Rattus norvegicus: one gene and its partner. The protein of the gene in region 2 interacts with the protein of the main gene of each other region in a pairwise test. Links are inferred from orthologs where the notes say so. Each region holds a gene or a part of one and is shown on either strand. Other genes may lie near its edges. The genes, in order: Myh7 and Mybpc3.

What was found.
Region 1: the proteins of Mybpc3 (region 2) and Myh7 interact in a two-hybrid assay, tested with the Homo sapiens proteins (2 studies listed by IntAct). The link is inferred for Rattus norvegicus from reciprocal best matches to the Homo sapiens genes MYBPC3 and MYH7.

What each region holds. Positions count from the first base shown.
Region 1 is NC_086033.1:32,421,387-32,428,389, forward strand, and holds part of Myh7 (myosin-7), read right to left. Parts: intron 6,075-7,003; exon of another isoform or gene 6,041-6,074; coding exon 5,895-6,040; intron 4,346-5,894; coding exon 4,255-4,345; intron 3,551-4,254; coding exon 3,161-3,550; intron 2,985-3,160; coding exon 2,858-2,984; exon of another isoform or gene 2,694-2,857; coding exon 2,575-2,693; exon of another isoform or gene 2,458-2,574; intron 624-2,457; coding exon 427-623; intron 341-426; exon of another isoform or gene 229-340; intron 1-228. UniProt on the Homo sapiens protein: Myosins are actin-based motor molecules with ATPase activity essential for muscle contraction. Forms regular bipolar thick filaments that, together with actin thin filaments, constitute the fundamental contractile unit of skeletal and cardiac muscle.
Region 2 is NC_086021.1:97,547,484-97,555,028, reverse strand, and holds the start of Mybpc3 (myosin-binding protein C, cardiac-type), read right to left. Parts: upstream 3,969-7,545; 5' UTR 3,939-3,968; coding exon 3,914-3,938; intron 2,933-3,913; coding exon 2,666-2,932; intron 2,108-2,665; coding exon 1,991-2,107; intron 1,911-1,990; coding exon 1,803-1,910; intron 1,717-1,802; coding exon 1,568-1,716; intron 1,240-1,567; coding exon 1,122-1,239; intron 741-1,121; coding exon 692-740; intron 536-691; coding exon 506-535; intron 424-505; coding exon 370-423; intron 1-369. Other genes in the region: Spi1 (transcription factor PU.1), read right to left, coding at 7,195-7,514. UniProt on the Homo sapiens protein: Thick filament-associated protein located in the crossbridge region of vertebrate striated muscle a bands. In vitro it binds MHC, F-actin and native thin filaments, and modifies the activity of actin-activated myosin ATPase.

The DNA of each region.
Region 1 (7,003 bases), on a different chromosome or scaffold from region 2:
AGGGATGGGGAGAATGGAGGAGGTAGGTTTGGACAAGAGGAAAACATGTGACTTCCAAAAGACTATCCTCGACCACCTAGAAGCACTCAGAAAAGCCTAAGGTCAGGCTTCAGAGGCTGGGCACTTAGCAGGCAAATCTCAGTAGCTGAGAATGGAGACATAAAGCACCTATGAGGGCCATGAGCCTGATCCTTCTTGGCTGGATCAGCCCCGTTCCCTATAGCACCGTACCCCAGGTGGGTGCACTCAGCCCTCAGACAAACCTTTTGTTCGTCTTATATTCGGATGAGAAACATAACGCGAGCAAAAAGCTTCCCTGAGAGGAGCAGGAGGTGGGGGTGCCTAAGAGTCCCCTACGTGTGGACTACTGAGCATCAGATCGGGCTGCAAAGGAGCCTCAGCCAGAGCTGGGTACCCAGGACTCACTTGGCTTCCTCCAGCTCCTCCGTCCTCTGTATGGCGTCCGTCTCATACTTGGTCCTCCACTGGGCCACCTCTGAGTTGGCCTTGGACAGGACACGCTGCAGCTCAGCCTTGGCTTCTGTTTCCTCCTCATACTGTTCCCGCAGCAGGTCGCAATCATGCCGGGCTGACTGCAGTGCGTGGGCCAGGGCATTCTTGGCCTGGGAAGAGGTGGGCATCGAGGAAGTGGATCAGCTTTCTCCTCTGCCATCCCCTTACCCCAGGCCCAGCATGCTCCCTTGGCCACTTCTACCTCCAGCTCTCCAGTGAACCTGGTGTGGTTTGCTGAGCAAGGAGGACCCTACACAACAAAGCAGTGCGGCACTGTTTACAATGCTCTTGTGCCCACTGCCCGAGGCTCCTTGCAGCAGATTTGCTCCCCCAGTGCAGTTACAGGTGCAAACAGAGACACCAGGAAGTTTTCCTTATATCACCACACTAAAAGAGGTAGTTTTGGGGGTTTGTACATGTGTAGGGAGCTCTGAAGTCAGCCATGGGTATCATTTCACAGACACTGTCTACCATATTTTTTGAGACAAAGTCTGTCGCTGAGATTTAAGGATCACCACCTTGGCTAGGCTGGCTGCCAGTCAGTTCAAGAGATCTTCCTGTGTAGTGATAATTTTAGAATTTTGGCTTCTTAAAAGAACACAGAAATATTAGAATGTGTGTTTGTTTTAATCCCAGGTGTGGGGCTGTGGGGTTACTTCAGATTGTCCACAGCAGCTGACTGTGGTTTGGCTCGTGCTCTGGCAGGGGTGTGATTTTTCCAGCTGCGGGTACTTTCTGCAACTGTGCAGCATTTGGAATTCTAGGTACTTTTCAGAGGGTATATAAATGGTAGGGCCCAGAGAGACAGTGTTGGATGTTGGTTGCTGTTGGTCATGGTTTGTTAAGTAGTCATGTGCAAAGAAGAGGGGAGGAGGAGGAAGAGGAAGAGGAGGAGGCGGAGGAAGAGGAAGAGGAGGAGGAGGAGGAGGAAGAAGAGGAGGAGGAGGAGGAGGAAGAGGAGGAGGAAGAAGAAGAGGAAGAAGAGGAGGAGGAAGAGGAAGAGGAAGAAGAAGAAGAGGAAGAAGAAGAAGAAGAAGAAGAAGAAGAAGAAGAAGAAGAAGAAGAAGAAGAAGAAGAAGAAGAAATAATAATTAGAGATCCCGATGGTGAAAATCAAACTTGCCCCAATCAACTCAAACTCAACACCCTTAATCAGCAGGAAGTAGTTGCTCCCTTTCCAACTTCTGACTTTATTCAGGGATCTCTTTCCTTTCCTTTCTATCCTTTTTTTCTTTCTTATTCAGTGTTAGATGGTTGGAAGGGTGGAAGAGAAGGGTAGGAGGAAAAAGAATCCACAAAGTAGTAAAGACAAGCTATACGCCTGTCTCTGCCATCTCAGTGCTGGGATCACAAGTGTTGGAAATTGGGCCCAAACACCATCATGCTCCTGTGGCAAGCACTTCACTGACTGAGCTATGTCCCTAGCCATCGCTCTGTGAGTTTTAAGAACTCATGGTCTCATCTCTTTACCGTAAACTCAGTACTGTGCTAGGGATAGGTTCCGGCTTTCTTTCTCCAGGCTTCAGGTTGCTCTCATAATTCTAGGACCCTTTTGTGTAGCCCCTCCACCCCGTATCTGCACCCAAGAAGGCCAAAACACATCTCAGACCAGTGGTTCTCAACCTTCCTAATGCTGTGACCTTTAATCCAGTTCTTCATATTGTGGTGACCCCTCAATCATAAAATTATTTTCATTGCTACTTCATAATTTACTGCTGTTCTAAATTCTTAATGTAAATGTCTGATATGCATGGTATCTAATATGCAACCCCAAAAAGGTTGCAACCCAGAGGTTGAGAACCACTACCTTGGATACTTCTCTGCCTCCTTACCCTCCAACCCCACCCCTGCACAGCAATAGGAGGGCAAAGGGTCTCTGTCAGCCTGGGGAACAGATTTTAAAAGATACCTTGTAAAGGCTGGGTTATTACTTCTTTTTTACAGTTTGTAGAGAATTTGGACCAGGCAAGCCTCACTCTTAGAGAAGAAAGAGATGCAGACAGAATCCAAGGCCTATTGTTGCATTCTCTGCTTGGGCCAGGCCCTGAGTTCAGGCCTTACCTTGACCTCCTCCTCCAGCTGCCTCTTGAGGTCCTCCAGCTGCTGGGTATACGTGAGCTTGCCTCGGGTCAGCTGAGAGATAAGAGCCTCCTTCTCATCCAGCTGTCTGGACAGCTCCCCTGGGGAGGCATCAAGGTACCTTCAGCCCCTCTTCACCCTCAACCCAGCCCCTAATCCTTAGGCTCCCTTCTCTGGAGAGGCTGCGGGCACGTGAGCAGCGTGTACGCCCAAGGCCAGGATGCTCAGGAGGTTGGGGGTCACGGAGCTCCAGCCCTGGACTCACCATTCTCTGTCTGCAGCTTGGCCCGCTGGCTGGTGAGGTCATTGACAGAACGCTGTGTCTCCTCAGCCTTGCTCCGGTGTTCATTCATCTGGTCCTCCAGGGTCCGGCACATCTTCTCCAGGTTAGCCTGAGAGAGGAAGGAGTTACAGAGTAGGTTCAGGAAGGAACTAAAATGGAGTAAGGATTGCAATGAAAGAGAAAACCATGGACGGTAAGGGAGCACCCAGATGAGCCGTCAAGGAAGAAAGAGGATCGACACCGGAAGCAGAGGGATCAGAGGAGGGAGCTGCTGAAAAGACCCACCTTGGCCTTGATGATCTGCTCCATGTTGGAGGTAACGTCATCCAGCTCCAGCTTGAACTCGCTCTTCTCTTTCTCCAGCTTCTGCTTCACCCGCTGTAGATTGTCTATCTGCTCGCCCAGCTCGGCCACGCTGTCCGCGTGTTTCTTGCGCAGGGCCGCAGCTGTGGCCTCATGCTGCAGCGTGGCCTCCTCTAGGTCCCGCCGCATCTTCTGGAACTCGGCCTCGCGCTTCTTGTTCATCTCTATCTGCACAGATGTGGCCCCACCGGCTTCCTCTAGCCTCTCACTGATCTCCTCCAGCTCCCGGGACAGGTCTGAGCGCAGCTTCTCCACCTTGGCCCGGGCTGTGCGCTCAGCCTCCAGCTCCTCCTCCAGCTCCTCGATGCGTGCCTAGTCAGGGACACAGAGGTTCAGACCTGCTTCCTGGACCCTCCATTGAGGCCCGTTCTGGGGCTCTAAAAGACCCCTGGCCTATGAGAACAGCAAGTAAGTTTGATGTATAACTGGAAAAGTAGACATAAAAGGATTTGTGGGGAAGTGTCTTGAACAGGCCAGTCAGCTTTCTTTTAGACTTGAGCACTGCACATTCTCTTTATTAGAAGGAAGCAGATCTCTTAGAGAAGGACAAAAACAAACAAACACCTAATCTGTGCTCATGGGTTTTTGAGAGCAGTTTACTGGGGAAAGTAGCAAACGTGTAACTGAGAAAACCACATCTGTTTGAGAAAATAGCTGAAGACCTAATTCAATGCCTGCTACGGAGGAAAGAACCATAAAGACTGAAGGGACCTTTAAAGTCACCAGGTGACAGAGTGGGGAGACTCAGAGGTCAGCAGTGGGGTTCCGTAATCTCTTGGAAACCAGGAGTTCTGCCGTCCTAGACACCCCCTCCCCGCCCCCAAGGTCTCTTCCTGGGTCTTCCTTGGATCATATAAGCCCCAATTGGGGGGCTCCCTGTAGGAAGCCTTGTTCATTGTATCTCCTTTCACAGGTACACAGTTCTGTGATGCACCAGTATCATACCCTGGAGGGGGATCCAGGGAAGCTGAGAGCCAGCCCGGGACACCACACTCAACTAGAGCCCCTGGCCTTACCTGAAGCTCTTTGAGCTTCTTCTGCAGCTGGCTGCCCAGGGCCTGCTCATCCTCAATCCTGGCGTTGAGTGCATTTAACTCAAAGTCCTTCCTGTAAGGAAGAGAGAGCGAGGGGTAGCAGGTCAGGAAGGCACTTGGAGTAGCCACCAGAAGGTCAGAGATTATAAAACCAATGGAGTACAGGCAAAAAAATACTTTAAAGAGTGATTTAGGATGGGTACCCTGAAGGAAGGGTAACACCTGCTGTCTGTCAGGTTCAAGTCCAGTAAAAATACAATGAAAAACCCTGTAGCAGGGCAGCATAGTGGGGCTCTGTGGGGCTTTCTCCTCTTTTTTTTTTTTTACAAAAAATGGGGGGGTGGTTATTTATGTATTTAATATATGTGGGTATACTGTAGCTGTCTTCAGACACACCAGAGGAGGGCACCAGATCTCATTATAGATGGTTGTGAGCCACCATGTGGTTGCTGGGATTTAAACTCAGGACCTTTAGGAAGAACAGTCAGTGCTCTTAACTACTGAGCCATCTCTCCAGCCCAGACTTCTCCCTCTTATTCCAAGTATTCTCCTCTGTGAAGTAATGAGACTATTGCAAAGGCCTTTTCACTTTTTTCTTTCTCTTTGGTGCTGTGGTCTTTAACTTGTCACTGTTAGCTTAGGCAACTCAGTCATCTCTCTCTCTCTTTTTTAATTGGTGTGTATTCACTGTGCATGGCGCTGGGCTTCATAAAGATGGTGTCTCACACCTCGATCACGTGCCTGGAGCATGCTCACTTCCCTTCCACTCCCTAACCTTCTTGAGCCTTAGCTGTCTCTGTGATAAAATAGGATGGCAGACACCATCTTTGTAAGTACTCTGAGGAGGCTGCTGAGGAGAGCAGGTGAGAGAACTACTCTTCCAGAAGAAGCAAGATTGGTTCTCAGCACTCACACCGTGCAGCTCACAACTGCCTGATAGGCCCGCTCTAGGGGCGTCTGGTGCCCTCTTCTGACTTCTGTGAGCGATGCACTCACATGTGTGTGCACTAAAACACACACACATGCACAAACACAATTAAAAATAAAATATAAAAAAAGGAAGGTGGAAAAACCATTAGGACCATATGTGATCTATGTGATCCATTCATTCATTCAACAAACTCTGTGCCTAGGGACGTGTAAAGACTCCTATGCAAATACAAGTTGAAGTACTATAAGATTCTCAAATATCAAAATACGTTTTTGCAGCTCACTATTCAAGTCTGTGTGTGCACCTTTGGGAAGGATTTGCAATAAAGATTGGAACCAGAATCTACCTAGAAAAAGAAATGACCCAACCCTTACATTTTTTTGAACAGCAGAGCGATTCCTTTGAAATTATGGGCAGCCTCTCCTCCTATCTGACCGAGTGCTCACAAAGGAAGCAAGTTTTTATTTTCACCTCTCCCTGGGGTCTAGCAGGGACAAGGTGCTTGAGAGATCCAAGTGAGACTCCTTGCTAGGGAGGACCTTGGGATCTGATGTGCGGGTTAGGGAGGCTCTGCCCTCAGTTTGAGCATCCATTGCCTCTTAGGATGGCCCCTTGCCTGGCTCAGCCTATACTGTGGTGGGTGAGCTGAGCTGGGCTGGATAAATGGCCCTGGCAGTATGGAACACGGTACTTTTTGAGTCGCTCATCCAACTGCTGCTTGTCGTTCTCCAGGTCCATGATGCTCTCCTGGGTCAGCTTCAGGTCACCCTCCAGCTTCCGCTTTGCTCGCTCCAGGTCCATGCGCACCTTCTTCTCCTGCTCCAGGGATCCCTCCAGCTGGCAGAGAGAAGAGCCAGCTATGAACCACAAGGTAGGCTATGCTAGCCTGAGTTTTGTCTCTATTTTGGAAATCCTTAGAGAATCCAGGACTTTGGACACTTCCCTAGAAAGGACCGATGTTTCCAGGGAACCATGAGAATGTCCAGACTGAAAGGTTTGCTCAGTGGATTATTTTGTGAATGAATGAATGTGGGAGAAGATTCCAAGGCCATAATCATTCATTCAGCATCCTGTAAGTACCTATGGGTTCCAGGCTCTGTGCAGGGTACTGGAGACACAAAACTGAGTAAACTCAAGTGCCCATCTCGGGGGAGCTCTTAGTCCTGCGACTGAGACAGATACTGAGTTATTAGAGCAGAATGGTAAGGCAGTCAACGGACGTTTACACATTTGAGGGAACAATGGTCATTCAGGACCAGACTCTGCAAAGATTCTCCTCAAAGAGTCTAACATTTTACCAAAGAGATACAGTGTTCTTCTGAGATAATCCTCTAAACCCTGTAGTCAAAGATAGAACTATGCGCGTTTACAATTTTAACTTTAATAAAAAGCCAGCTCAGGCCGGGCCTTGTGGCGCATGCCTTAAATCCCAGCAGATACAGTGTTCTTCTGAGATAATCCTCTAAACCCTGTAGTCAAAGATAGAACTATGCGCGTTTACAATTTTAACTTTAATAAAAAGCCAGCTCAGGCCGGGCCTTGTGGCGCATGCCTTAAATCCCAGCACTCAGGAGGCAGAGGCAGGAGGATCTCTGTGAGTTTGAGGCCAGCGTCATCTACAGAAAGAGTTCCAGGACAGTCAGGGCTACACAGAAAAACTCTGTCTAGAAAACACACAAAACAAAACAAAACACAACAAAACAGCTATCCCTGTTCTTGAGCATAACAGTGAGATTGCATACATTTCTTTGAAGTCGGTAACCCTCATGCTTCCTATCCCCCTGTTTTATTCTGGGAGGA
Region 2 (7,545 bases):
TACTCTCTGGGCAGGAGCAGGAGCAGCAGCAGCAGCCATGAAGGGCAGATGGGAAGAAAGGGGAAGAAAGGACAGAAAAAAAAGTCAGGTGCTGGGCTAGGTCCTTATTGCTACAACTTTGGGGACCCTCTTCCTATTTCTTATAGCCCTCAGAATCTATGGAAATGATCTATTATAGATTCAATATGGGGTCTTCAGGGGTACACTGAGGATGTTATTAAGACATAACTCCTGTCCACACTGGGGTCATCCCACTTGGTAAGGAAGTCAACTCAGAGAGGTGCCTTATTTTGTTCAGGGTCACACAGCTTGGAAACCCCAATGCTGTGTCTTACTCCCTGCCCTGGAAAATGTGACCCAGGGACTCACCTCTTCTTCAGCAGGGAGCTAAAGTCCAGAGTCCCAGCATCTTCATGGCTGTCACTGTGGAGAGAGACCCCCATGAGGCTTCACTGAAGAGCTAGCGGGGCTTAGGGGATGGGGCGGAGGGAGGACAGAAGAGTACCTGGTTCTCCGACCCGTTCCAGCCAGGCTCCTGTGGAATTAGACAGCCTCCTCAAGGACCCAGGAGTTCACCTTTGTCCCTCAGACTTCAGCTTGGACCCCCCACCGTGTGTCTATCTAAAACTTAAAGGGGCCTTAGCCCCTGACACTGGCCTCCCCCTATTCCTGAGGAAAGAGAGCCACTCACGTGCGTCGGAAAGCTGATCTGAGGTCCAGGTCTCCAGAACCAATGGCCTCTGTGTACAAAGAGAGTGACGTGATGGGGGTGACCTCAGGGGGTGGGGGCACAAGATTCCATCTTCTCAGCTTTTTCCAGGGTTCATGTTTAGAGAGGTGGGGCAGTTTCTCACCCTCATCTCTACAGTGGGCTGCCTCCCACTCACCTCCCTGTTCACATCCAAACTGTGTCAGGCTGGGATGACTGATACCGGCATCCCACCCTCGACTTGCTCCCACGCTTGCTCCTGAACTCATGGATTTCTTTCACACCTCAGGTGATCAGCACTGGCATCTGGCCACAGCTAGTCACCCTCTTTAGTTGTGAGACAGAGACAAGCCCAAGAGACCAGGACCCATGAAGACCACAAGAACTGATGAGATCCCAGGGCCTCTCTCACCATGTACAGTGAGGTTGAAGTTGCAGCTGTCAAATTTGTCCTTGGTAGACACCTCACAGCGGTAGCCCCCAGCAGAAGTGGCCTGCGCATCTGTGATGTGCAACTCAAACAAGTAGACCTGTGGGCAGGGGATGGAGGAAGTCTGGGCAAGGAGAGGCCCTGCATTTCTAGAGAGAATGGGCATGGCAAAGCCTGCCCGCCTCACCTCTCAGGGCTAACACATACAGAGCCTTTGTATAACTCACAGAAAGGATCCACCTTTCAAGACCCTTGATGGGCTCTTGCTGGCGCATGGCCACGATAAAATTCCAAGCAGATGGCTACACGTAGGAGCTGTTTTGTGCAGTGTGCGGCTGGTGTGGCTGACCATTGCAGCTCTGCCCTGCTTCCCAGTCTTCTAGCCTCCCTACATCCTGTACTCCATAGTTCCGTGCCCTGTGTCCCACCTTGCTGGCTCTGTCGTAGCTGTCGTGCAGCTGCAGGTGCTGGCCCACCTTGCTGCTCAGGTCCACCCACTTGCCCTTAAACCACTTGACTACAGGCGGTTTCAGGAGGCTGGCTCCCGCCACTCGGGCTGAGAAGACGATGCTGCCGCCTGCAAGAGAAAGGTGACTTCTCTGACCTTGTTGCCCTGGGGCTTCCTTCCCCGTCCCAAGTATGAGCACAGAAGCTCCCACTTACCCACGGTCACCTCGCCATCCTGTGGCCGCATCAGAAAGAGGCCAATAGGGTCGTCAGGGGCTCCCTGACTCCCTGCGACTGAGCCATCCTGGGTTACCGAGACTGACCCTAAGAAAGAAGGCTTTTGAGGTCTGTCCTGGGATATTCCCCACCCACTGGCCTGTCCCTCATTGTCCAGTCCCCTTTACCTTCAGGACTTGAGACATTTCCTTCCAACTGAGTGGCTAGAGCAGGAACTTCTTTGGGAGTTTCTGGAGCTTCCATAGAGGTTGGAGCAACTGCAGACTCTGCCTTCTCTGGAGGGGCTTAGGTGGGGTCATGGAACGGTTTCTAATCAGAGCCCCCCTCTCGGACATCAGACCTATGTCCCACCTAAAATGCATTCCACTTGTGCCCCAGACTCCTTCAGGCACTGGTCTCACTCCAAGAAGAGGAGCTAGCCTGCTGCTCCTCCAACCTTCACAGTCCACCTGTCCCATGTCCAGATTTCTGCTCTGAACAGCCCTGCGATCCATCTGCTGTCCCTTTCCAGGCTTTGGCCTTGACCCAGCACCCCCAGCACCACCAAGCTCCTCACCAACACATACAGCTAGCCAAGTCCTTGTCTGGGTGTGGCCAGACTCCGGGTCTGCTATGGGAGAGGGCCCTTCCTAGAACACCGCTCATGGTTTCCCACCCCCACAATGCAGAAAGAGCTGCAGCCACAACTAATGCTTAGAGAGATCTTGGTGCAGAAGAGGGGAACAGGCATTTCTGGTTTACAGCACTGCCAGGGCAAAGGCCAGTGCCCAGAGTCCATTCCCTGTTCAGGGCTATGACTGAAGATCAGGTTGGGCCCTGAGGAGAGGTCAGCAAGCCCTTACCTGGCTCTGTGACCTTAAGGTCAAACTTGACCTTTGAGGAGCCTGCGATGACCGCATAGGAACCCTGATCGTCAGGGCCCACATCCCGCACTGTCAGTGTGTGTCGTTTGCCCTCTGCTGCCAAACCATACTTGTCATTGGCAGCGATATCACTGCCATCCCGCTGCCACTGCACCTTCAGGCCTGACCGCTCCGTCTCAGCCTCGAACACAGCAGCACTGCCTGCGGTCACCTCCACTGACCTGGGCTTCTTGGTGAAGGCTGACACTGAAGAGTCAGATGGAAATTGCAGGAGCCAGGCTCCCTGGTACCTGACCCCTGACACCCTCCTTCAAGAAGACTGTGGTAAGCACACTCCAAGCCTCTTGTTTAATGCTCCAGGAGTTCTATGGGGTAGGTGCAACCATATTTATTTCTCAGGTGAGGGAGAGGTTAAGTGACAGATGATAGAGCTCAGGATGTTGTCCCTACCACCCCACAAGATGTTCCTACCCTCCTGACTAGGAACATCAGCGATGGGCCCAGCCTCCTCTCCCATTGTGGGACCCTTGGCAAGGGCCCCAGCTGCCTACTTGGAATATAGCTAAATTTGTCCTCTGAGGGCTTCACACTAAGAATGAGCAATTGAGATAACACTAGCCTGGGAGCAGCAGGGGGGCTGGAGGTAGGGCCTGGGGACTGGATCCCTGCCCCCATGATCTCTGCAAGGGTATGGGCCTGGTTCAGGCCTTTGGTTGCAGGTTCTCTGTCCTTCGTTTGCCTGTTCTAGTCAAGAGAAGAGAGGCTCTGTCACCCCATATCTGGAGTCAGGCATGATGTGAGGACCCTAGGGGTTCCGGCTCATGTGGCAGACACTCAGAGCTGGAACGGATCACTACCCCCACATACTCAGTACATTCAGAAACTGAGACCAGAAGGTGCTCAGGGACTCAGTGGACTGCCTCCACTGCAACCTACGTGGAACTTCTGGAATTTGACTGAAAAAGAAAGCATAGGTCCGAATAGAATGACCCTGGATTCTTCCTAACTTAGAAAAGTCATCTCTCAGTGGCCCTGACACTGAATTTAATCCTCAACCTCTTTAGAGGGTTGGGAAAAGAAGCAGAGAATCAGACACAGCCCAAAGAGGACCGCTGTCCTGTCCCTTCCTGGAACCCACAGGCCTCATCCTATGCCAGTACCTAACCTACCCGCAAGCCATGCACACCACTGCCCCAGGTCCAGACCCAACCCCTTCTGTGGAGCTACCTGGTCTCTTCCCTGGCTCAGGCATCTTGAGAACAGTCACACGGCGCACCAAGCAGGCCACCCACGGAGGGACTGAACAGTGTCCCGTGTTCTCACTATTTATGAGGACTACCCCCTCCCCAGCCCTGCTTATCAGCCTCCTGCTAGCCACCTGCTAAATATAGACAAATTCCATCCAGCTGAGGTATCTTCATGGAGAAGATAGGGCCACTTGGTCCTCCGGCTTCTCCTCCCCCACTTCCAGCAGGACTGAATAACTTCTGCCCTTCCAATCCTCCGTGGACCTCAGAGGTAGGCCGACCTTTGTGTATCCACCCAGCGGAAAACTATACTGTCGAGGGGCTCTTGGCCTGTGACACCCACAGCTAAAGGGTCAAGGGCACATGCGCTGGGGGCGAAGGTGTCCAGGGCTAGCTAGCTGCTATTGTTCTTTTGATCGGCAGAGCTTTGGCACACGTTACTGCACCATGAGGGGCATGGGCTGGCCTTGGACCATGGAATCCTGGGTGGGCTTGGTCTAGGCTTGGGCAGGGAGGGAATAATGCTGGGAGTTACTGTCCCACCAAGGGACGCGCTAGGCAAGCCTGCAGATGAGGGAATGGGGGTGAATCTCTAAATGTACTCCAAAGTGGAGGACAGGAGCAGAGAGAGCTCTTACTGAAGTCACGAGGATGAACCGAAGATAAATGGGGAGGATCCTGAATCCCTCAGCCCCCACCCCACCCCACTGTTCTTGTTCTGTGACTGGACCCTCCTGATACTCCTCATGCGTCAGGTTCATCCACTGTTAGGGGGGAAAAAGAAATGATGGGAATCCCCATCAAGCCACACTAGTAGAATAGATAGCCTATCACCAGAAGGGAGGAAGCCCATATATAAGCATCTTCCATTCAATAGGAACTTATCAGCCACGATTTCCACCCAATTTTAGTTACTTTAAAGTCACATCACCTGCTCCTAAGTCATGTGTGTGTGTGTGTGTGTGTGTGTGTGTGTGTGGTGTGAGTCTGTGTATATGTGTGTGTGGTGTGTGTGAGTGTGTGTGTGTATTTGTGTGTGTGGTGCATGTGTGTGTGTTTGAGAGTGGTGTGTGTGTGTGTATTTGTGTGTGTGGTGCGTGTTTGAGAGTGTGGTGTGTGTGTGTGTGTGTGGTGTGTGAGTCTGAGTGTGTATATGTGTGTGTGGTGTGTGCGTGTGAGTGTGTGTGTATTTGTGTGTGTGGTTCGTGTGTGTGTGTGTTTGAGAGTGGTGTGTGTGTGTGTGTGTGTGTGTGTGTGTGTGTGTGTGTGTGTGTGCTGAAGCTATTACTAGTAATCCGGGTTGATCTCAAACTTATGACAATCCTCCTGCCCCGACCTAAGGGCTGCTCTTCCAGGTATGCACCACATACTTATCTCTGAGTCTTTCAGAGAACTGGTGTGGGATGGCTCAGTGGTTAAAAGCCCTTGTTCTTGCAGAAAACTCAGGTTCCGTTCCAAGCACCCACATGGTTCCAACCATCTGTAACTCCAGCTCCAGGGGACCTGACACCCCTCTTCTAAACTGCAGGCACACACATGGCACACATACATACATGTGGGCAAAATATTTTTTCTTTAATGTTTAAAGAACTGGGGCTTGAGAGTCACTAAAAAACTAACCAACCAACCAAACAAACAAACAAACAAACAAACGGCTCAAGTTGCTAAAGGTGTGTGTTGCTAAGCCTGATGACCTGAGTTCAACTCCTGGGGGATCCATTGGTGGAAGGAGAGAACTGACTCCTACAAGTTTTCTTCTGACCTCCACATATATGCCATGACATGTGTGCACATACATACATACAAAATAAATGAATTAAAATGTAATTAAAATACTTAAGAAAAAAAAAGACTGTGGCTCTACCACAGAGCTATCAGCAGCTCATATCCACAGGCTTCTCTTGAGACTCGGCAATCTGACTAGGGAACATCAGCGTGGCCAGGAGGTGTGCAGGGATCTTTCCCGACAGTGACATCCCTAGGGTTTGTGTTTCCTGAGATGTGCAGACATTGGGAAATGCCCTCACTCCCTGACTGCCATCACCTGCCTACATTCTGTCTACATCACCTAAATGAAACAAGATGTTTACAGATGTCCCTTGCCTGCAGTTCCTGGGAGCAAAGTGCTTCGAAGGGAAGGCCGTGCCTATGGAGTCTCCATTAAGAATGCTTTGCGTCGGGGCTGGGGATTTAGCTCAGTGGTAGAGCGCTTACCTAGGAAGCGCAAGGCCCTGGGTTCGGTCCCCAGCTCCGAAAAAAAAGAACCAAAAAAAAAAAAAAAAAAAAAAAAAAAAAAGAATGCTTTGCGTCCATGCTAGAAAGATTGCAGCTGGTAAAGGCTAGGCTCACAATCAAATCATCCAGAATCATGCTGGGTGGCACCAGGAGCATTGGACTTCACTCCTGCAGAAGCATTTCCTCTTTCAGATAAGTGGAGCTTCTACCCTGCCTGATGTGATGGACAGTCCTAGAGAGCATCCAGCGGTGCGACATTGAAACAATTATTTAACTACTATGAGCCTCAGTTTCCCATTCTGTAAAGCTGGGAGATGTTAGGCTCGTCATCTCAAAGTCGACAGATGCTAAGTGACCAGAACACCTGTGCTTATTGCTGTGGTCATCACCACCATCACTGTGTGTCGCACTCAGAAGATTATGAGTTCAAGCTTCACTGAGACGTAAACCCTTCCTGGTGCTGAGGGCCTTTCATTATGATCCCCGATCCCTGATAACAACCCAGGACTTGTTTTACTAGAAATAAGTGCTGTGTGTCCACGGTCCCCATGTCCCTAGGGTCCAGCTTTGGAAACATGTTCACTGGATAAGTAAGAGAGACATCCGTGCACTCGGGGCGACCCGGCACACACAAACTCTTGAATGAGACTCTTGGCTGGGAGAATAGCCAGCAATAATTTTACTTTTGAGGCTAATGGGGATGGGGGGTGGGGTGGGAAGATGAAGAGCTTTTTAAAAAGCATTCAATATACAAAAAGGTGCCAACGCCAGACTCCCAAAGAAGCACCGTGGCCACTAAGCCAGGCTGACCCTCGGGTGAGGTCCGAGGCCCAGGCAGCCCTTGGGCCTGGCTAGAGTCCTGGTGGGAGGCGAAGCGGGCGGGGCCGGCCAGGCGGGGCATGGCGGGGCGAGGCCGGGTCCCCAGTCCTGCCTCGGCCCTGGGAATGTCCTCCCTGTGTCCGGGCCGGGCGACAGGTTAATGCTATGGCCGGCGGGGGCCGGGAGCCTGGCGGGCTCTGCAGGCGATCAGTGGGGCGGGAGGCGCCGCTCAGCCAGGCCCCCACGGCCCAGCACCTCGCCGCTGAACTGGTAAGTGAGCTTCTTCTTGACTTTCTTCACCTCGCCCGTCTTGCCGTAGTTGCGCAGCGCGCGCGCCATCTTCTGGTAGGTCATCTTCTTGCGGTTTCCCTTCTGGATGCCCCAGCGGTGCGCCAGCGCCTCCTTGTGCTTGGACGAGAACTGGAAGGTACCTTTGTCCTTGTCCACCCACCAGATGCTGTCCTTCATGTCTCCGCTACGCAGCAGGTCCAGCAGGAACTGGTACAAACGAATCTTCTTCTTGCTGCCTGTGGGAGATGGGCAAGCAAGTAGAGTGTG